4 linked regions of the Cricetulus griseus genome follow. The protein of the gene in region 1 purifies or fractionates together with the protein of each later gene. This does not show direct contact. Links are inferred from orthologs where the notes say so. Each region holds a gene or a part of one and is shown in the gene's direction. Other genes may lie near its edges. The genes, in order: Otub1, ubiquitin-conjugating enzyme E2 E1, Slc7a11 and Ube2e3.

Evidence for each region.
Region 2: the proteins of Otub1 (region 1) and ubiquitin-conjugating enzyme E2 E1 purify together in Homo sapiens (affinity purification with mass spectrometry; 4 studies listed by BioGRID and IntAct, with this or other methods). This does not show direct contact. The link is inferred for Cricetulus griseus from reciprocal best matches to the Homo sapiens genes OTUB1 and UBE2E1.
Region 3: the proteins of Otub1 (region 1) and Slc7a11 purify together in Homo sapiens (affinity purification with western blotting; 5 studies listed by BioGRID, with this or other methods). This does not show direct contact. The link is inferred for Cricetulus griseus from reciprocal best matches to the Homo sapiens genes OTUB1 and SLC7A11.
Region 4: the proteins of Otub1 (region 1) and Ube2e3 purify together in Homo sapiens (affinity purification with mass spectrometry; 3 studies listed by BioGRID and IntAct, counting the BioPlex papers as one, with this or other methods). This does not show direct contact. The link is inferred for Cricetulus griseus from reciprocal best matches to the Homo sapiens genes OTUB1 and UBE2E3.

What each region holds. Positions count from the first base shown.
Region 1 is NC_048596.1:52,258,504-52,262,632, forward strand, and holds the end of Otub1 (ubiquitin thioesterase OTUB1), read left to right. Parts: intron 1-1,386; coding exon 1,387-1,505; intron 1,506-1,710; coding exon 1,711-1,795; intron 1,796-1,910; coding exon 1,911-2,105; intron 2,106-2,239; coding exon 2,240-2,437; 3' UTR 2,438-3,337; downstream 3,338-4,129. Other genes in the region: ADP-ribose glycohydrolase MACROD1, read right to left, coding at 3,593-3,630, 3,928-4,009. UniProt on the Homo sapiens protein: Hydrolase that can specifically remove 'Lys-48'-linked conjugated ubiquitin from proteins and plays an important regulatory role at the level of protein turnover by preventing degradation.
Region 2 is NW_023276807.1:175,440,917-175,446,056, reverse strand, and holds the start of ubiquitin-conjugating enzyme E2 E1, read left to right. Parts: upstream 1-1,683; 5' UTR 1,684-1,842; intron 1,843-1,996; exon of another isoform or gene 1,997-2,383; coding exon of another isoform or gene 2,384-2,386; intron 2,387-2,420; 5' UTR 2,421-2,453; coding exon 2,454-2,605; intron 2,606-5,140. UniProt on the Homo sapiens protein: Accepts ubiquitin from the E1 complex and catalyzes its covalent attachment to other proteins. Catalyzes the covalent attachment of ISG15 to other proteins. Mediates the selective degradation of short-lived and abnormal proteins.
Region 3 is NW_023276806.1:101,013,208-101,017,743, forward strand, and holds part of Slc7a11 (cystine/glutamate transporter), read left to right. Parts: intron 1-1,336; coding exon 1,337-1,436; intron 1,437-4,536. UniProt on the Homo sapiens protein: Heterodimer with SLC3A2, that functions as an antiporter by mediating the exchange of extracellular anionic L-cystine and intracellular L-glutamate across the cellular plasma membrane.
Region 4 is NC_048599.1:96,288,148-96,293,395, reverse strand, and holds the start of Ube2e3 (ubiquitin-conjugating enzyme E2 E3), read left to right. Parts: upstream 1-1,749; 5' UTR 1,750-1,886; intron 1,887-2,498; exon of another isoform or gene 2,499-2,519; intron 2,520-2,976; 5' UTR 2,977-3,004; coding exon 3,005-3,198; intron 3,199-4,931; coding exon 4,932-4,982; intron 4,983-5,248. UniProt on the Homo sapiens protein: Accepts ubiquitin from the E1 complex and catalyzes its covalent attachment to other proteins. In vitro catalyzes 'Lys-11'- and 'Lys-48'-, as well as 'Lys-63'-linked polyubiquitination.

The sequences.
Region 1 (4,129 bases):
CCAAAACTATACAGAGAAACCCTGTCTCAAAAAACCAAAAAAAAAAAAAGAAAAAAAGAAAAGAAAAAGAAAAAAAAAAAGATTCCTGCAAGTTCAAGGCTAGCCTGGGCTGCAAAATGTGACCCTGTCTCAAAACCAAAATGAAAGGAAAAAACTGTTATTCGGATTAAGGTGAAGATACTGTCAGGCCTGTGGTGTTCACAGAGCAGGCAGGAAGCCCTATATTTGGATGTGTTGTAACTGGCAAGTGTCTTGAGGAAGGATACTGTGTGGTTTGGTGGGAGCCCTGTCTTTTAGATGGAGATAGATGCCGGCAGGTAGCCTGGGAGAGAGCTGGTAAAGGAAAAGATGGGATGTTGTGTTGTCACTCTCCAGAGGCTGGGCCAGGGAGGGCTGAATTGACTCTGCTATAGTAGCTCTAGGTTGTTTTTGACCTTGGTCGGACAAAAGCCTTCCATAGGAGTTTCTGTTTTTATTGGAAGACCCACCTGGATCTTACATACCTGTGGGGTCTGTAAAGTATAATCTATAAACTAGATTCATGTCCTTGAATCTGAAGGAAGACATGAGCTAGTGGTGAGTATTGGGGTAGCTAAGTAGCAGATGTCAGGGCCAAGTTCTGAGTGTGAAGGGACTCTCATTACTGAGGGTTGCCTGAGGGTTGTCATCTGGCAGGTGTCTTGAGGAAGGATACAGTGTGATTTGGTGGGAGCCTCGCCTTTTAGAATGGAGAAAGATGAGGGGTAGCCTGAGAGAGATAAGTAAAGGAGGAAGGATCAGGCTGAAGAGAGCAGGGGTAGGGGTGTCCAGGTGAGTGAGACCTGTTTACCAAGCTTCACTAGGGGTTGCTTTCATGGGGATGGGCTTCGTTTGGAGAAAGTGGAAACAGCTGAAGGAGATGGTCCCTGTCCTTGACTAATGCAGCGTGGTTGGGAGGTAAAAGTGGATGGGGGAGCTGGTTTAGCCTCAGATTATAGAGAGAGCTGCTCTCTGTGGCTGGAGCCATGCTAGGCTAAGGAACCTCAGGCATCCAGGCAGCTGGTAGTATGGCCTGTTCTTTTCCCCTGCTTTGCCTTGCTTGTATTGAAAGACCTGGAAAGTTGAGTTAGTCAAGGACAGATTTGGTCATCTGTTTTTATAAGCAAATGGCTCTGTGGCCAGTAGCACCCACATGGCAAGCAGCTGGTGACCACACAACCTGTTGACACATAAGTGCACAGCTTCTGGGAACCTCCAGGGGAGGGCTCTGTTCCAGTGGGTGACTTGGTGCCCTCATTCAGCAGCCTGGAGGTGGGAACCTGGAGTTGAGTTGCCGCCTGCTGCTATGGCCATTTCTTGGGCTGGCCCTGGCCTGGCTGGATGTTAAACTGGGCTGCTCTTCTACAGGACCTTCACAAAAAGTACTCATACATCCGCAAGACCAGGCCTGATGGCAACTGCTTCTATCGAGCATTCGGCTTCTCCCACTTGGAGGCGCTGCTGGATGACAGCAAGGAGCTGCAGCGGTGAGGAGAGCACTGGGGGCTCCAGGCCCCTCCTGATGGATAGGAGATCTGGGCCTTAGGCCAGCCATCATTTGGGTTGGTTGTTTGGGACTTCTTTTTGAACTTGGTGGTGGGTGGTCTTGTCTAGGCAGGCCTGGGCTGGCTAAGCCCTTGCTCTGCTGGCTGAGAAGCCCATGCTGGCCCTCCCATCCCTTCCCACCCACAGGTTCAAGGCTGTGTCTGCCAAGAGTAAAGAGGACCTGGTGTCCCAGGGCTTCACTGAGTTCACAATCGAGGACTTCCACAACACGGTGAGCCTAGCTATTTCAGGCTCACCCCAACAGTGGGGTGGCTCTGTAGGCTGTGGTAGGGTGGCCTCTCCTTACTCATTTTCCTCCTCTTATCTCTGGTCCCCGGGTGGGGCAGTTCATGGACCTTATCGAGCAGGTGGAGAAGCAGACCTCCGTAGCTGAGCTGCTGGCCTCCTTCAATGACCAGAGCACCTCAGACTACCTTGTGGTCTACCTGCGGCTGCTCACCTCAGGCTACCTGCAGCGAGAGAGCAAGTTCTTCGAGCACTTCATAGAGGGTGGCCGGACTGTTAAGGAGTTCTGCCAGCAGGTGCCACCTCCTCTTCAACTCTGCCCTGGGACCCTCTTTTTCTCTTTTGTTTAAGGGTGGGACATGCTGGGTGAGGTTGGGACCTGGGGAGGGGGAGGGTTTTGGGACAGGCCTGACCTGCCCCTGTACCACAGGAGGTGGAACCCATGTGCAAGGAGAGCGACCATATCCACATCATCGCCCTGGCGCAAGCCCTCAGCGTGTCCATCCAAGTAGAGTACATGGACCGTGGTGAGGGCGGCACCACCAACCCACATGTCTTCCCTGAGGGCTCCGAGCCCAAGGTCTACCTTCTCTACCGGCCTGGACACTACGATATCCTCTACAAATAGGGCCGGCTGGCCTGCTGCGTCCTGCCTCCCTCCCCCTGCCAGGCACTAGACATGTACAGAGGGTTTTTTGTTTTGTTTTGGTTTTTTTTTTGTTTGTTTTTTTGTTTTGTTTTGTTTTTTGTGGTTGTAAATGGTCATATTTCACTCCTCCCTTTTCCCTGTCACACAACCTTCCATGTTTTATTAAAGGGGATGCTGGTGGTGAGCCTGAGTGTGCGTTTCCCTGCTCTGCTGCTCTTCCCTACATGTCTACTGGCTGCTGTATGTCTGGCTGTCCCTTCCCCCAGGGTGGGTCCCTCAGCTTTCTTCCTATCCACCCCAAGTGTCTCTGCCAAGAGAAATTTGAGGGGGCTAGGCCTCCATGCTCCTTAGAGTTCTGCTTTCTATCTACCCATAAGGCCTGCCCCCTTTCCTCCTTGACTTTCCAGGGGTTTCCATGGGAACTTTTGAAGTTCCTTGGGCACTTGGCTGGAGGTCTCAGGTCACCCACACTCAAAGCTGCTCCTTAGAGTAACAGATTTGCTATTCTGGCCAGAGCTTCCAGATCACAGCTTTCTGCCCACCTCCAGGGGTCTGCATGATTGAGGAGTCCTGAGACGAGAAGGTTATGGGAGGAGGCTGGCCCAGGTAGATGGGGGAGCTGCTCATCCTCTGGGCCCCAGGAAGAACTGACTTGGTGTGGGAGGAGCAGAAGGCCTCATTCCTATCTAGGCAGGGCTTGCCTGTTACTGGTTCCCCAGAGCTCCCTGCCTGTGCTTGCTCTGCACCCCTTTGCTTGGGCCATATCTGCATTACCTGCCTCTTTGCCTTCTCCTCCCCACCCCCAGCACATGTGGGATCTCAGCCCAGGCTGTGAGCTCCTTGGGGGCAGGCCCTCAATAAATGTGAAGTGCTGCAGCCGCCACCGCCTCTGCTCTCTGGCCAATGGCTCACTCACCCGCCTGGCTCACCCAGGGCTCTTGGAGCCACTTGAAGCAAAAACAGCCCCAAGACACCTTACCCCTGGGCCCCAGCCAGACCCAGACCCCAGCACTCAGACAAGTGAGGCTGAATCAGACATCTTTATTAAGAGGCTTCTGAAAGGCAGGGCAGGACATACTGAGGGACAGGACAGAACTCGGGGTGGCCAGGCTGGAACAAGCTGTTCGGCTTCTCTCAGAGTTGGGAGCGAGGTCCCACAGGCCCAGGTGGGTCTGATGGTAGAGCAGATAGATCAAAGGAGTTTAGGACTTCTGAAGGCCCCTGGGCCCCTCCCCAGCTTCACCACCCCACTGCATGGAGGTGGGCAACAGCAGATTGAGCAGGTGTTAGAGGGCCAGGTTAGTGTAGGGTGGCCACACCACACTGGGCCAGGCCCTGCTTACCAGTCCCATTCAGGGTGGGCTTCAGGAGCCTCAGGCTGGAAGGCAGAGGACAGTGAGAGCCGCCCAGGGCCATGGGGGAGGGGTAGGCTAGCCTGGGGGGCCCCGGAGGAAAAGGAGGGCACATACCTACTGGGAAGTAATGGGGCAGGCGCTCTCGGTAAATGTCCTCGTCCTTCTCCAGGAACACACAGATGATAAGCCGATCCACCTGCGCCAGGGATTGCTGAGCCCGGGTGGGGCCTCCACCGGGCCATCAGTCCCAGTACTTCGTGCTCCCCAAACCCACCCACAGTGGCAGGGTCTCAACTGCCTACTATGGGTGTACTGT
Region 2 (5,140 bases), on another chromosome or scaffold:
AGGATAGGCTCCAAAGCTACACAGAGAAACCCTGTCTCGAAAAACCAAAAAGAAATAAAGTTTTAAAACAAATAGTAATCTTTACCTCAGAATATTCTGAATAACATAGCTATCTTCATTTATTAATTTCTAGCTTTCTATGATTTTTTGGAGATAAGGTCTCAATATATATCTATGGAGATTCTGGAACTTAGGCTGGGCTTTTTTGTTTGTTTGTTTTTTTCAGCTTTGGAGCCTGTCCTGGAACGCAGCTCTGTGGACCAGGTTAACCTCGAACTCACAGAGATCCAGACTAGGCTGGCCTTAAACTCCCAATGCAGGGTTTAAACACTTGAACCACCATGACCCGCCAATGTTATCATTTATAAACTGTACCAGCACATACAAAATCAAACACATTTCTTCAAAAATGCATATGCTTTGGGTAGTGGAGGAACAGCTCTTTTTGACAGGAGGCTCAAAATGATGACCTGTGGAAGTCTCACCAGTGATTTTACATGTGTTTGGAGACAACTCCTATTAGGTACAGATTTCCTTAGAGACTGAGTGAATAAAGTGCACAATTACTTTATGAATCTTACAGACCCAGCTGGAGTTTCAGATTAAAGGCTAGAAGGGGTTTACCCGTATAGTGAGAATGCCTGCTTGCCTGGTTACTATATATGCCTTAAGCTTTATATCATGTGTTACAGTAACTGAAGACTCGGTTGCCTTGGGAGGCAATGACAATTTGAATGAGATAATTTGAAGTGGACCATGGAAATCTGAGTGCGGTTGTCTGGGCATTACACAAGATCTTGTGTCTGTGGTACCTTGTACTTGGACTATAGGGATTTGTTTTTACCTTCAGGGCAAACGACAAACAGGCAAGAAACTAAGCCCTAATTTAATGGTGGAATGTTTTCAAAAATAAAATTTGGTACAGTGCCACGAAAGGAACAATTTAGTGACATTACTGTGTGATTATTCTAAAATTATTGTTTGAATAGCATCGTACTGGAGCGAAAGCAGGGTGCTTTCTAGAGCTTTCTTTCAATTTCTAAAACTCAGACTTTATACCTAATTTAAGAATTCCAAGTCTTGTCAAAACCGGCAGTTTAAGGTTTATTCCCAGTGATCTTACAACTCCCAAGCCCGGTTACAGATCCCAGTTACCTGTCATGAACTCCAATCGCGTACATAAAAACCCCCACATCCTTTTCTATAACAAGTGAAGGGGTTGTATCTAATGTTGTAAATTGCTCACGCCTGGTATCCTGAACAGAAACCGAGTCTGGGATTTTTCTCACAGGCGTGACCTCTGCTCCTAGCAAGTTAAATTGCCAGAGGGAGAAACAAGTGTCAGCCCAAAGGAAAATCCTGTTGGGGGATTTTTTTCTTTCTTTCTCTACACCGGCCACTTTTGAGGAGGAGTCAAAGTCCTCGCCCGGAGAGTACCATCTTTCCCCCCCGACACCGGCCCCCTCACCCCCAGCCCTTTCCTAAAGCCCTCCTGGGAAGAACTTCCCCCGATCACCCCAGGCTCCACCTGAACGCAGTCGTCTCCCCCATCCCGCCGGGCTCCCTCGGCTCCGCCGGGCTCCGGGTCCCCAGGCCACGCCGGGGTCGCTCGGGGATCCCGGGCCGCGGCCCCCAGGTGCGGCGGGGGAGGGGCGCGGGGCGGGGCGGAGAGGAGGAGTGGCGCGGAGCGTGTGCGGCCGGGGAAGCCATTGCCTGGTTAATAGTTGCTGTTGCTGCACTTCCGCTTCTCTCCCAGCGAGAGCGAGACACGAGTGGCCAGGCCCAGCCGCAGCCGCAGCAGCAGCCGCCGCGGCGGCACGGAGCAGCCAGACACAAAGAGAGGTGCGGGGGGCCCCGGGGCGGGCGGCGAGCGGGCGGGCCGCGGGCCTGGGGCCGCGGGGCCGGGGGCGGGCGGCACCGCCGGGCCGCGGGCAGCAGGGCCGGGCCGGGGGCGCCGAGGGCCGGGCGGCGGGGATGGGGCGGCGGGCCGGGGCGATGGGGACCGCGCGAACTGTCAGCGCGGCCCGGTCCCCGCGGGGACCCGCCCGCCCGGGGCGCATTGTGCGCGCCGGCCTGCGAGCGCAGCCCCGCGTGGCCGGGCCTGGCCAGGCGCCGTGTCCCGCGGCCCACGCGGCCCACGCTCGGCTTCCTCACCCACTCTCCCTGCCCGGCTCGTCCCGACCTCGCCAAACTCGAGGGGGACGCCGGGAGGCCTCGGGGACGGCGGCGGCGGCTCCCGGCCCTACCCGGGCCGCCCCCGCGCGATCGCGGCCCCCGCGGATCTTCGGCCGGTGCGGCGGTGGGCCCCGATCCTCTGCAGGGCGGCGGGGGCGGCCCGGCCCGCGCCCTCCTGACAGCGGAGTTCCCTCTTTGCAGCGCCTGCATGGTCTGTGTTTCTGTTTTGTTTCCTACCCCTGCAGGGGCCGTTCGCGGGGTGGGGTGGGGGGTTCGCTATGTCGGATGACGATTCGAGGGCCAGCACCAGCTCCTCTTCATCTTCATCCTCCAACCAGCAGACCGAGAAAGAAGCCAGCACCCCCAAGAAGAAGGAGAGTAAAGTCAGCATGAGCAAAAACTCGAAGCTCCTCTCCACCAGCGCCAAGAGGTACCCCACTCCTTTCTCCAGGAGTCCTAGCTTCCCAGTTGCCTCGTGCTGCATGTCAGGGAGGGTGGCTTCAACGACGTTCTCATATGTTCTCTGGCAGGAAAATGGGGCATGGAGTCCCACCTGTTTTCTCTCCTGCTTACTGTTTCTGGTTTTGTTAATGCCCTTGCCCATAAGCAGCAGTTGTGGCTGGCCTCGTCTATTTCTTGATGAAGTTTCGAGAATCCTCATTACTTTTATGAGTGACTCTGAATGTGATTTCAGAGTCCTCGTCCTGGTAATCACGAATCTGTGACTTCTCAGAGGCTGTCACCCTCCTTTATAATTAAGGGTACCTTCCGGGAACTCTGTCAATGAATTCTGACCATCTCTCTTCCTCACCTGTTGCAGGGATGACGTTTTCTGAATAGAGTTTTCTCCATAACTTGCTTAAGGAATAATCAACTCCCATTAGTGCTTAAGAAACTGAGGTGATGTTTTCTGGTGGAATTTGAAGAGCCTTTTCCGGTTTGGGGCAGATGAGTCAGTAAATAACAGTAAAATGATTATTTCAGGTATTTTGGGAGATAGTTTTGTTGGCTTGTTTAAGAAGAGATAGTTTTGTTTGTTTGTTTAAGAACTTCATTTTGATAGTTTTCAAGGAGGCCTTGTTGTTTTATTAGACAGTGTCTTATGCTCTAGCCCAGGCTGGCCTTCAGGAGTGAGCCACTCACTACACCGAGGGTTAGTCTCTTATGTAAAAAGACGGGTGAATACTTTGTCTCTGTCAACCTTTAATGACATTCCCTGATCCCTGTAGTCTAGCAGAGACCTGGGAAGCCCCTGACATCCTTTCAAAAATCCTTCTCTTTTCATTGAGATAGTTAACCATAGCAAGGAATGGAAATTGGACTAGAATTTAAAATGAAATGGGACATTTAAGTGACTTTGGCTCTCTCTGCTGAGTAGTGAGCCTGGAACTCAGATTGACAGTTTGTTCTGTCATTTTCCCTGACCTGAAATTCTTGGTATACTGTTTTAGTGACCTAACTGGCCTGATGGTAGTGACTTCAGCCCATTCTCCATAGTTAATGATCAGGTCTTGAGAGGGTGTCGAGCTGCCTTGGTAAGGTTGTTCTCATTTTCAAAGGGTTGGTGTGATAGTATCTCAGGCCCTCCTGAGTCTTAACCTGCCCTCTTTGATTAAGCCCATGTGAACTGTCTCTGAGCCTGGGTTCTCCCCTCCTTGCTGAAGATGGCGCTTCTCTCTCCCAGTGTTCTTAATCTCTCCATCCTCACTCTGCTTTGGACCCACCCCCTTAGGTCAGTGCAGCTTTTGTGTTGTGCTAGAAGGCCCTCAGTGTGTTTGTAACTATAGTGGGAGGAAAATGGACAGGTATAAAAAAGTAGAGTATAAACAATTGGATTTCTCTGCGGATATAGTTTGTCTGTTTATGCTATGGAAGTTAAAAACTTAGTTCTGGGCATGGTGGTACAGGCCTTTTATCAGCTCAGTCCTTGGAAATAGAAGCAGGCAGATAGATCTCTTGTGAGTTCAGAGTCAGCCTGTTCTACAAAGAGAGGTCCAGGAGGTCTGAATATAGATAGGGAGACTGTCTCCAAAACAAAATCAACTTTATTTGGTACCTCAAATAGTAGCGAACTGGCCTAGCATGCTTGAAGCCCTGGGTTCAGTCCCCAGACCTGTAATCCCAAGGCTCTGCCAGGCAGGAGGATCAGTTCACAGTCCTTGGCTACAGTGCATTCTTGAGTTGGAGACAGGCTCTCCTGTAGTCAGGGCCTCGTGTAGTCCAGGCTCAGTGATCTGAATAACAATGGATGTTCCCTTTCCAGGGTTTTTGGTGAGCAGGAAGATACCAGCTATAATGTACCAAGCATTGCCATTTTTAGCTGGCACTTCTTCCCCAGTAAAAGGGAAAATAAATTGAGTGGTGACTGGGGAAGTTCCTACCCTCAGAAAACCTTCGGAAATAGAGAAACATCCATTGTCATTCAGATTGCCAGCCTGAGACCTTATTTGGAAACAGCTAGTAAAGAAATGTTGGAAGTAGGAAGAGGAGCTGGAAAAGAGTAAATAATAATTTTGCCTGTAAACTAACATGTTTTATGTATCTTTTAATGCAGCACATTTAGATTCCTAGGTACCTTGTTGAAACAATAACTGTGTGTTAAAGCAGAGTTAAGGTTAAAAGGTAAAAGTAGAAAGGGTATCTAGGAAAGGATGAAAGGGAGAATTAGGATTGGTGTTTGATGTAGGCCTGTTCTGCATCATTGGTTTGGAAGGTAGGTACTAGCCATGGAATTGGAAGGGGTGTGTGTACCAGGAGATGGTGTACCAGGAAAAGGAATCAGAATCAGCAGACTAAGAAAGTGGTTTCTAAGCCAGGATCACTGGAGAGCGGAAAGTGAGACTTGCTCTTAGACCAAGCCTTTGTGTCACTGGTACATCTTTGATCAGTGCTCTGGAAATGCTGCAAATGGTGCCATTCTAAAACTGCCTGGTGTTGCCCTTTAAAAATTATATCATAATTTTGT
Region 3 (4,536 bases), on another chromosome or scaffold:
TTACAAAGGCAAGAAGAGGGCATCAGATACCCTGAAGCTGGAGCAACACATGGTTTGTATGGATGCTGGGAGCTGAACTCAGATCCTCTGTTTTTAGGTGCAGAGCATCCTCTCAAGTCCCAACAGATCTCAGTGTGCATAATTTCCTTCTATTAAGGCATAGAAATGTTTCAGGAAAATGGGCATTTTTGATTCACCTTGTCAAGTTTTCATAAAACTATATTTAGAAGTTGATTGCTTTGAGAAAAAAATATTGTTCTTTATGTAACACAACCATGTCCATCTTGGCTCCCATCCTCATATTCTATCACTATGAATACTTGGTCTCATGATGTGGGCAATAGCTGATATTTGACTTAAAAGAGAGTGTTGTATATACATCCTCTTCCTTTTCTCTTCTTGGCCCCCTTTTATTGAACTAAAGGTCAGTTTTAAAACATGTTCCTTTCCTATTTGAGTAATCTCATTTGCTGTTTTCCTTGGGGGTGGTGGATGACACAGATAATTTTTTGGTTAGTTTTGAATCTGTGCTTACTAACACAAATCTGGTTTTGTAATCTACCCAAAAGATTCAAAGGAAAAGATACCCGCTCTCCACAACATAGAGGGGGAGGGGGTGTGATGGACAAAAGTGTTCAGTCTGCATGTTGATGCCAACGTTGGTAAAACTTGGTTTGAGGTTTGGTACAATTTCTTATTCATATTTTTAGAAGAAAATGGTGGGATGGGCCAATACAGTGTCAATAAGTTACCTCTACAAAGAGTGGGCATGGGAACCTTGATATGAACCTTTATATGAACAAGCCTTTTGGGTTTTGACAGTGAGTTTTGTCTGCAGCCTTCCCTGCTTTAGGAGGCAGGTGTCCAATGTACTCCAGGGATAAACAGCAGGGTGTTAAGTGATGTGATGTGGGAGGCAGGACAAGCATTTCTTGATGCCTCCTCAGTCAAGGCAGACTCTGAGATTTCTTTTCATCCCTACTATGCCATTCATTATCTTCTAAGAATTTTGACAAACTTAAAACTTCAATTAATAGGAGAAGCTTTAGTCTACTATCCTGGTTAAAATAGAGGACACTCAAACAATGGAAATGATATCACCTATTTTAAGTGCCACTTTCATCCTGCTCGTCATCTACAAAAGAACTTTAAAATGGTCTAGGTGACAACAAGTGTGCATTTGAGACTCCTGCCCTAGCGTGGTTGCAGTATCAATAGAGTTGGCTGTGAACAGAGAGTCAGAACAGGGCAGCTCACCTCCCAACCATGTCAGGGTTGGAACAAATAATAGAAAATTCTTTGCAAAGCTCTAAAAATCCTTGCATCCTAATTGCAGGTCATACACAGCACTTTGAAGATGCATTTTCAGGAAGAGATGCAAATCTAATGGGGTTGCCCTTGGCTTTTTATTATGGGATGTATGCATATGCTGGTTGGTAAGTGGATATCTCCAGATACTTCATTAAATTGCTTCATTTGCCTTTTCTCTTGTTAATCTGTCTTTTATCATAGGAGTGTCAGCTTTGACCCCAGTAACGGATGAGGAAGCACATCACACATTTCTTCCCCAACTAGATTTTCATTATGTCAGGTACACAGTGATTATTTAGTCAAAGTTTCAAATAACATGGAATTCTCAGAAATGAAGACCTATAAAGCCAGGAAAAGTAATTTTCATGGCCAAAAGATATAGTGCAATGGTAATAGACTGGAGGGAAACTAAGTGACGTGTTGGTTCAGATTCTTCTTGACTTTTTTGTGTAACATTTCTTCCCCCTGGGAGAGAATAGAACCTCTCTCAACCAAGGCTCTTACGATGTATTATGAGACAAAGTGGAGCATAGAACAGTGCAGCTGCTTTCCACAGAAAGGCAGGAGGAAGTGTGAGACATATTTCTAGGTTTTACAGTTGCCTTTGTGGGAGATAGGTTCTAGTTTATGGGAACACTTAGGTAAGACTGATTATCTTCTGCAGCTTACCCTGGGAGAAAGAGAAGCATGAAGGGAAGGTGGGAGGATACTTGAAACTGATCCTTCTTCAGAGGTCCTTCCAGTTTCCTGCAGTGTGGCAAAGCTTCAAACTTATACAGTTAGGAGTCCCTGATGAGTCAGGGTTGTTATTAGATTCAGCTCAGTGGCATAAAAATAAACAAACAAACAGATGCTGGTTTTCAACAGTCAGTATACATTACTTCTAATTATTCATCAGTTAGGATGAAATAGTGCCATGGGATACTTGGATTAGTACCCTCCCTGTCAAAAGGCCTTTGTGCTAGAGTACCATGGATATTTATAAATAGTGGTTAATGACTTTTTGTCTACCCTGTTATGAGGAAGAAACAATTCAGATGTAGAAATGAGATGGTCTCAGGAGATCAAAATGGTTCGTATGATAAAGACAGGATAGGAGAAATCAAAGTAATAAAAATCAAATAGTATACAGCATATTCACGGGCCTTTACATATTTCATCTAAATGCTTCCAGTAGCTGAAAGCACAAACAGGCAGCAAATGTGATTGGCACCACGATGCCATGGATGCGTTTATTTCCTTCATGCTTGTCTGCCTGTGATTCCTCCCTGCCCTGGCGCAGCACTGTTTTGTTGAGGAGCATGAGTCACAGTAATCAAATATTAGAGAGGAACTTCCTGTAACTAAATTGTATTGACCTTCTAAGTTGAAATGACTATTTCAAGAGAGCCCACTAGGTGAAACGATATTGTTGAAACACTAAAATCATTGCAGGACGATTAATTTTCATTGTTTTGGAGTAAATAATGGTAATAGTTCTTTTTCCATATTTATAAAACCAATAGTTAAAGCTGTGACAATACTCCTAAAAATACTATCTAGAAACTTCAGTATCTCAACAATTATGTGAATGTGAATATGTATATAACATGAATACAATTTTTCTCTTCTTTATTCCTTCTTTTTTGTTTATGTTTTTGGATCTTATCTTTTAGGGAATATACAAATGCATTCCAAAATCAATAGAATATGTACCCTATTAATCTCACAAATTGTGAAAATACGGCATTAGAAGAGAATCAGCAGAGTGTAGCTACATGGGTTTAGCATAGCTTTGAAGCAAAATGTGTTTGAAGGCTGTTGGGTTATAGCATAAGAAGATCAGTGTAAAATATTTGTATACCCGAAGAAGATTTTCTTGCAGCCATTGTGTGCACGCTTTAGTTTTGAATCTCAATGGTTTTGAAGTCTTTTCACTTTTGTTCAAAGCACAATGTGGTGCTAAGCAGAGAAAAGAACTGAGTGTGATCACAGTGTTAGGAGCAGAATCAACTCCTCTATGTCTTTTGAGCCTGAATCAGGGCGCCATGCCCTGGGGCAGCAGCCAAGCCACAGTGAGGGTCCCTGGGAGCCCCAGAGCAAAGCAGGGGAGGGAACAAGAGCTTTCAGCTCCAGCTGGGTGCTGGGAGCCTGTTGTACTCTGTCAAGAATGTGGAATGTGGTGATCTTCACAAGGCAGATTTGATTAATTCTGTTGAATGGAGTTTCTTTTGCCTGGGAGCACCATGCATCTGTTCCCACGGAATATTAAAGCATTTCTACCCTCTCTCCACCACCACCCGGCACTGAATATTCAGGTCACCTGCTTCATGTACAGCCAATTTTCTCCACTTCTGAGGGTTTTGAGGAGTGCTGGAATTTTTTGTGGAAAAAGACTCTCTTCATCTTGACTTATCTTATTAATATTGTATTTTACTGATGCTGAGTCCGAAGTGCCACTGTTTTCACCTCTAATGGAGGTTTACCGAAAACTTGATATATACTCCCCGCCCTCTGCCCCCCCCCCCCAGTAATCCTTGTGTCTTAACCCTAGCTTGAAGAGCCAGGAACCATAATTTCATTTTTGTGTGTGTGTGTGTGTGTGTGTGTGTGTGTATGTGTGTTTGAGGGTTCAGTCACACTATTGGAAAGTAAGTCTAGGATTGTAAATGAGATGTTATCTGATCCAAGTGGCTTAGCTGGGGAATGATAGGGAACTATTTTGCTTCATGGGTTATTATGCTGGCTTAATGCTGCTTTGGAAAGAGGAGGAATGATCTGGTTATGAATCTATGGCCCTCGGTCTTAGAAAAAAAAGCACAAGTACAAGAAAGAATCTTTGGGCTCAGTACTCCATAGATGTAGATATTTCCATGTAAATGTATCAAGGTGGAGTCTGAAATGGGTCTCAAAGATGGGAGCATTGTAAGAAAAACCTTTGCTATCTGAATCCTCCATCTTTTACCTTGTGAGTGCAAAACTGGCTTGCACACTTGTAAATTGGGACTGTAAATGGCTACCATTCCCTGCATTGCTGTAGAATAATGTTTATTTAAGTGGGGAAAGAAAAGGAAGAAATAAACCCAATGTGGAGACATTGTAATGAGACAGAAACAAAGCAGTTATGGTCAGGAATTGCAAGCCAGGCTGCTACCTGTTTGGATGGGAAGCATGCTAGCCCTCTGTTGTCCTGGATACCTTACTCTAAGAGCAGTCACCTCCAGCTGTTAGGCTGAATAGGAAGAA
Region 4 (5,248 bases), on another chromosome or scaffold:
TGGCTGCTGCTCCACTGTCTCATCATGTAAAGTTGGGAGTCTTCTGCGTCGCCCTGCCCACCTGTACCCTTTCAGTCAAATCAAAATGTTGGTGTGTGGATGCACACACAGATCACAGTCCCTCTGGAGACTGGACTTTGTCCTAACTGGGAAACCGTTCCCTTCCTCTCATCCAGGTGAACTTCAGTAATGGAGTCCTCTGACAGACCTGGAACTCCTGGCAGGAAGTAAGGAGACTAGGCTTTGGACATACCAACTGGGACAGGTTATAGTCTCTGTGTAAGCTTGCCCAGTGTGTGTCTTGGGAAAGTTACACGTGTGGCTTATAGTTCTGAGTAGCTCTTTTACCCAAACTTTTTTATATGGAGGAAAACTAGTGTGTTGGCTCACTTAGTTATTTTTCTTTCTCTTGAACACTGGCTCATCTCACAGAGCTCTGCCATTCTTGCTTCTTCTGTGAACTCATTCTCCCAGCACTTTTGCCCTGGACACTTGTGGGAGAGGAATGCACAAATTCCTTTGAGGTTCCATCACTGGAACACGTTCTCAGGAGCTGCAAACAGGAAGTTTTTGTACTTCTGTCTACTTTGTGCTTGGGGCAAAACTGGTCTCCACTTAAGATTCTGCAAAAAGAAACACAAGAGTAGCGCAACCTTCATGATTCCTCCCTAAAAGTTTTTATGAGGCCACTGCCATAGATCCACCCAGGGCTTCTCTATCCAGAACTGGTGTTTCTCATGCAAGGCAGAGCCTGCTGCCAGAAATGTCAGGTTATAGACCCCCCTCCCCCCCCAATCGCCTCACTCACTACATCTTGAGCGGGACATTTCAAAAATAGTTTGGGATTTCTAAGTTTTCAAAATGTCCAGAGGGCAGTCCCCTTTGGCATCGACACTGCAGGATGGGTGCCAGAGATTAGCTCAGGTTGGTCCCCTGGTCGCAAAATCCCCTCCACCTCCCTCAGAGACCTGGACTTCTTCACCTTGCCACTTCCTTTAGCTCACAGAGGGGCCAGCAGCGGCTTCCCTTTGCCCCAGTGCTTGGCCTCCTCAATCACACCATTCATTTCGTGCCTCTCGGGGCATCTGGGAAGCCTCAGCCACGCGCCCGGGCGGTTGCTCAGGTACGGGATCCCCTGGCAACCCCGGGGCCACTAGCCTCAGGGGCGGGTTGTCCAATGGGCAGCGTTGCCCCGGAGGCGGGCCCAGGCCGGAAGCCACCCGCGGCCCCGCGAGACCGCGCCCCCGCCTCCTCCCTCTCTTCCAGTACAAGCTCGGCGGCCAAGGGCGCAGGGGCCAGCCCGCCGGTCCCCGTCGCGCTCTTTGTCCCGGCCGCGCGCGGGCGGACTCGTGCGCATCTTACCCCCCCTCCTCATCCAACCCTACCCCCGTCGGTGGAAAGGAGGCGCGGCGGGGACGCGCGCGCGGGGGCGCGCAGGAGCAGCTCGCTCCCCGTCCGCCAGGCGAGCGGCGAGCACGCGCGGCCGCCGCGCCCGCCCCTCCCCCCTCCCTCCGCTCGCTCGCTCTCTCTCTTCGGAACTTGCTGACTGCGCGGCCGGGAGGAGCCGAGCCGAGCCGAGCCTAGCCGGGCGGCGGGAGGCTGAGCGCGCGGGGGGCTCCCGCGTCCCTGCCTCGGCCGGCGGAGCGCCCACCCCACCGTGGCTCCCGGAGCGCGGGGCGGCGCCACCCTCCGGCCGCAGCGCGGCACTGCACGGCCGCCTGCGACTTTCGATGTTCCACACTCCCGGGCCGGAGCCTCGGCGGCGGCTTTTTTTCCGCCCCCCCCGTTCCCCCCCCAGCTGCCTCCATTTCCTCAAGGAAGGCTCCTCGGCGCTCTCCCTCCCCCACAGCGTAGCGGCGCACGAGCGGGCCGGGGCGGCGGCCGAGGTAAGGCGGCGGGGCCGGGGCCCGCGTGGGGGGCGGCGGGGGCGGGGGCGGCAGCTTTGTTCGCGCCGGGCGCCGCGCTCCTCAGTCAGCCGCGCTCGTCAGTCAGCGGCGCGGGCGGCGGGTCCCGCATCCCCCGGCGGGCGGGGCGGCGGGCGCAGTGGCGCGGTCCCCTGCGCGGCCCTCCCCACAAAGGACCGCGGAGCTGCGTGGCCCGGCGCTCGCCCCGGGGCGGGCCGCGCCAATTTGTTGCACTTCTGGGGGTGGGGGGTGGGGGAGGGCTTTTGTTTGTTTGTTTGTTTTGCCCTCGGGCTTTTGGCCGCTTTGCGGAATTTTTTTTTTTTTTTTTTGACAAAATGTCGGTCGGTGAGGGAGGAATTGAGCGGGGGACGTCGGTGGCACCGGGAGCTTTGCAGAAGGTGCAGTTCGGATCCTGCCCTTCCCCGGGTGGCAGCTCCGGCTTGGCCGGGTGAATCCTCGCCGCTGGCCGTGGGGAAGGCGGTGGGGCGGCTGCCAGTTGATTTTTTTTTTTTTTTTTTTTTTTTTTTTTTTTTAATTTTGAGTGCTGTGTTCAAAGGCTTTCGGTGCGCACGGGAGGACCCGCCACCGTAAATAAGCATATGGGCGACTAACAGGGTATGTTTCCCTCTGGGAAGGAGGATTTGGTAGCTCAGACCGGTGTCAGCCTGTAAATATTTAGACGATATTAGTGACTTTTGAACATTCTCCGAGAGATCTGTTATTTACAGTTGTCATATGTTATTAATGCCCGTTGCCCAAGTTCCTTGGCAAATCTGTTTCATGCCTTCTGAGAAAGTAGACAATTGATAGATTGTCTTAAGGGATGGGGGAAAAATGTGAGTGGGTTTTCTAACTTGAGTTTGGTAAATCCCTCAGCGACTGCCTTATAAGACACATCGGCCTCCCTGTAACCTTGCTATACCTTAAGTATGGGGGCAGTCGAATCTTTTTCAATAAAAGACTAATAGAGAGAAGAACATGCTGCTGTTTATTATTATTATTATTATTATTATTATTATTATTATTATTATTTTAAGATTTAACATTTCTTGACGGTCCCTTCTCTCCTTAGAAGTTTTCCCAGAGATAACTTCACCAAGATGTCCAGTGATAGGCAAAGGTCGGATGATGAGAGTCCCAGCACCAGCAGTGGCAGTTCAGATGCTGACCAGCGAGACCCTGCAGCTCCAGAGCCAGAGGAACAGGAAGAGAGAAAACCTTCTGCCACCCAGCAGAAGAAAAACACCAAACTTTCTAGCAAAACGACTGCTAAGTTATCCACTAGTGCTAAAAGGTAATGTCTCCAAGGCAGGACTCACATTGTCAGGTTGCCTTCTGTCCCATAGGGTGGTTTTGTTGGTTTAACAACAGTGGCAATAGTTCAGAAATACTTCTCCATCAAATGTGTTTGAACTTGGATGAGCTGTCATTCTGTATGTGGTATATAAGCAGCCTTCCTACAGCTATTGACTTTAAAGCAAGGCTACTTTGTTCTGTACTGTGGTAACTTGAGGAGCTGTCTCAAATGGAGCTGAGGGTGATCCTGACAGATGAAGAGGGTAGCAAGGAAAATTTGGTGAACCCCCAATTAGATGGTACGTTGGAGAGGTTTCCTCTTGTGAGTCATGCTTGAGTGAAACTGACAATTCTAGAGAGCAGCAGTGCCTCTCTCCATAAAACTGAATGGTCAGAAATGGCAATATTTACTAGAAAATTGTTAAATACCAGGCTTGGCTATATTGGGAAGCAGGTCTTACCGAGTGCCTTAAATTGGTCCACAGTGTGTAGGACAAGACTTGAAATCTTGCAGCACAAGTGTGACTGGGTAAATTATTGTTATCCCTCCTGGTGATGGCAGATGAAACTGAAAAGTAGCCAATTACAGTTTTAGATGTTATTCGGTGTCGTGGTTGTCCTCCTTCTTCACTCTAAAACTTGTAGATATGTTTGACAGGCTAACTCAAAAGCAGGGGAAACATAACCAAGCCAGAGTTAAAGATCCCTTGTTTTCTGTTGATTTTCATATTCTGGGATGACAGATATGATCCTGCCATTGGGACTCTGAGTGATAGTCATATTGGGATACCTAGAGAAACTAGCAGTTAAAATGTGCTCACAGCATTACCCAGCACAGGTGTTTTTTTGTTGTTGTTTTTAATTGGTCATAAATGAAGGAAGAAAAATGTAAAAGCTGATGGAATGTTGCATTCTTCTTGTGAGCCAAACTCTTGGTATGGATTTTAACCACCAATCAAATGCTAACAGCTTTAGAATATTTTATTGACGAGGAACAGTGTTTGAAATAATCTAAATTGCCCGATTCATTGTAATCTTGTGGAGGAACGTATTAAATATGTCTCAAGTTTTGAAAACATCCTAAATTTGAAGAAAACCAGAGTTGCCTTTGCCTGTAACTTGAGCTTATATATTTGTCTTCTTCCCTGCTGCAAATTTATAGAACTTTAAAGGTATATCTAAAAATCAGAGGCAAACAGTTACAGTCAATGTGAGTGCCAGTTTGAAATTTTTCATTGGCAAACATGTTTATAATTTTTAAACTTTTCTGACAGATAAAATATCGCCAAAAACTATTAATGTGCTCTAGTAGCAGCCTATTCATTTTTAGCTCAGTAAAAAGTGACTTGAAATCATTGTCAAAATCTCTGGTGTTTTCCCTCCTCCCTTTTTGTCTCATTTGCATATAAGCTTGAAAAGAGAATTTCTTTGGTAAAGAGTGGTTTTTAGCAGATTATATATCCTTCACTTAGTAGTCAGAAAGGACTATTTCTCAAATCAGGTGTAAATGACACACTTATTTACAATAGCACGTGAGAAAAAGAGCCGCAAAGTTTCTGCTAAGGGATTTGGGTTATGCCTCTGAGAACAAAGAGGAAGCAGCCATGTTAGCATTACTGAAGGCAAAGCCAGCCTTGCATTTAACTGCATGGTGGTAGAGGGCAGTGTAATTCCCCGGTTATTCTGTAGACTGCCTCAGATCCTTTTTGTTTGTTCTCATTTCACTTACAGAATTCAGAAGGAGCTAGCTGAAATAACCCTTGATCCTCCTCCCAACTGCAGGTAAGAAACACATTTGTTGTTTGCATTTCAAGTTGTGGAAAAATATTGAGAAGGTAATGATCTTGCCTGCATGTATGTGCAGCCTAAGAAGCTGGTTTCATTTGTTTTATCTTGTGCACTAAACTAAAATTATCTGGATTAACTAAAGATGGGAGAAAAGATAGCATGTATACATTGTGAACTTAGGAACACAGGACTTTGGCTTCTGAAATTAGTGTGGATGGTGCTGATTTTGCTTGTATGTCTGCAGAGCATTTTTGTTCACA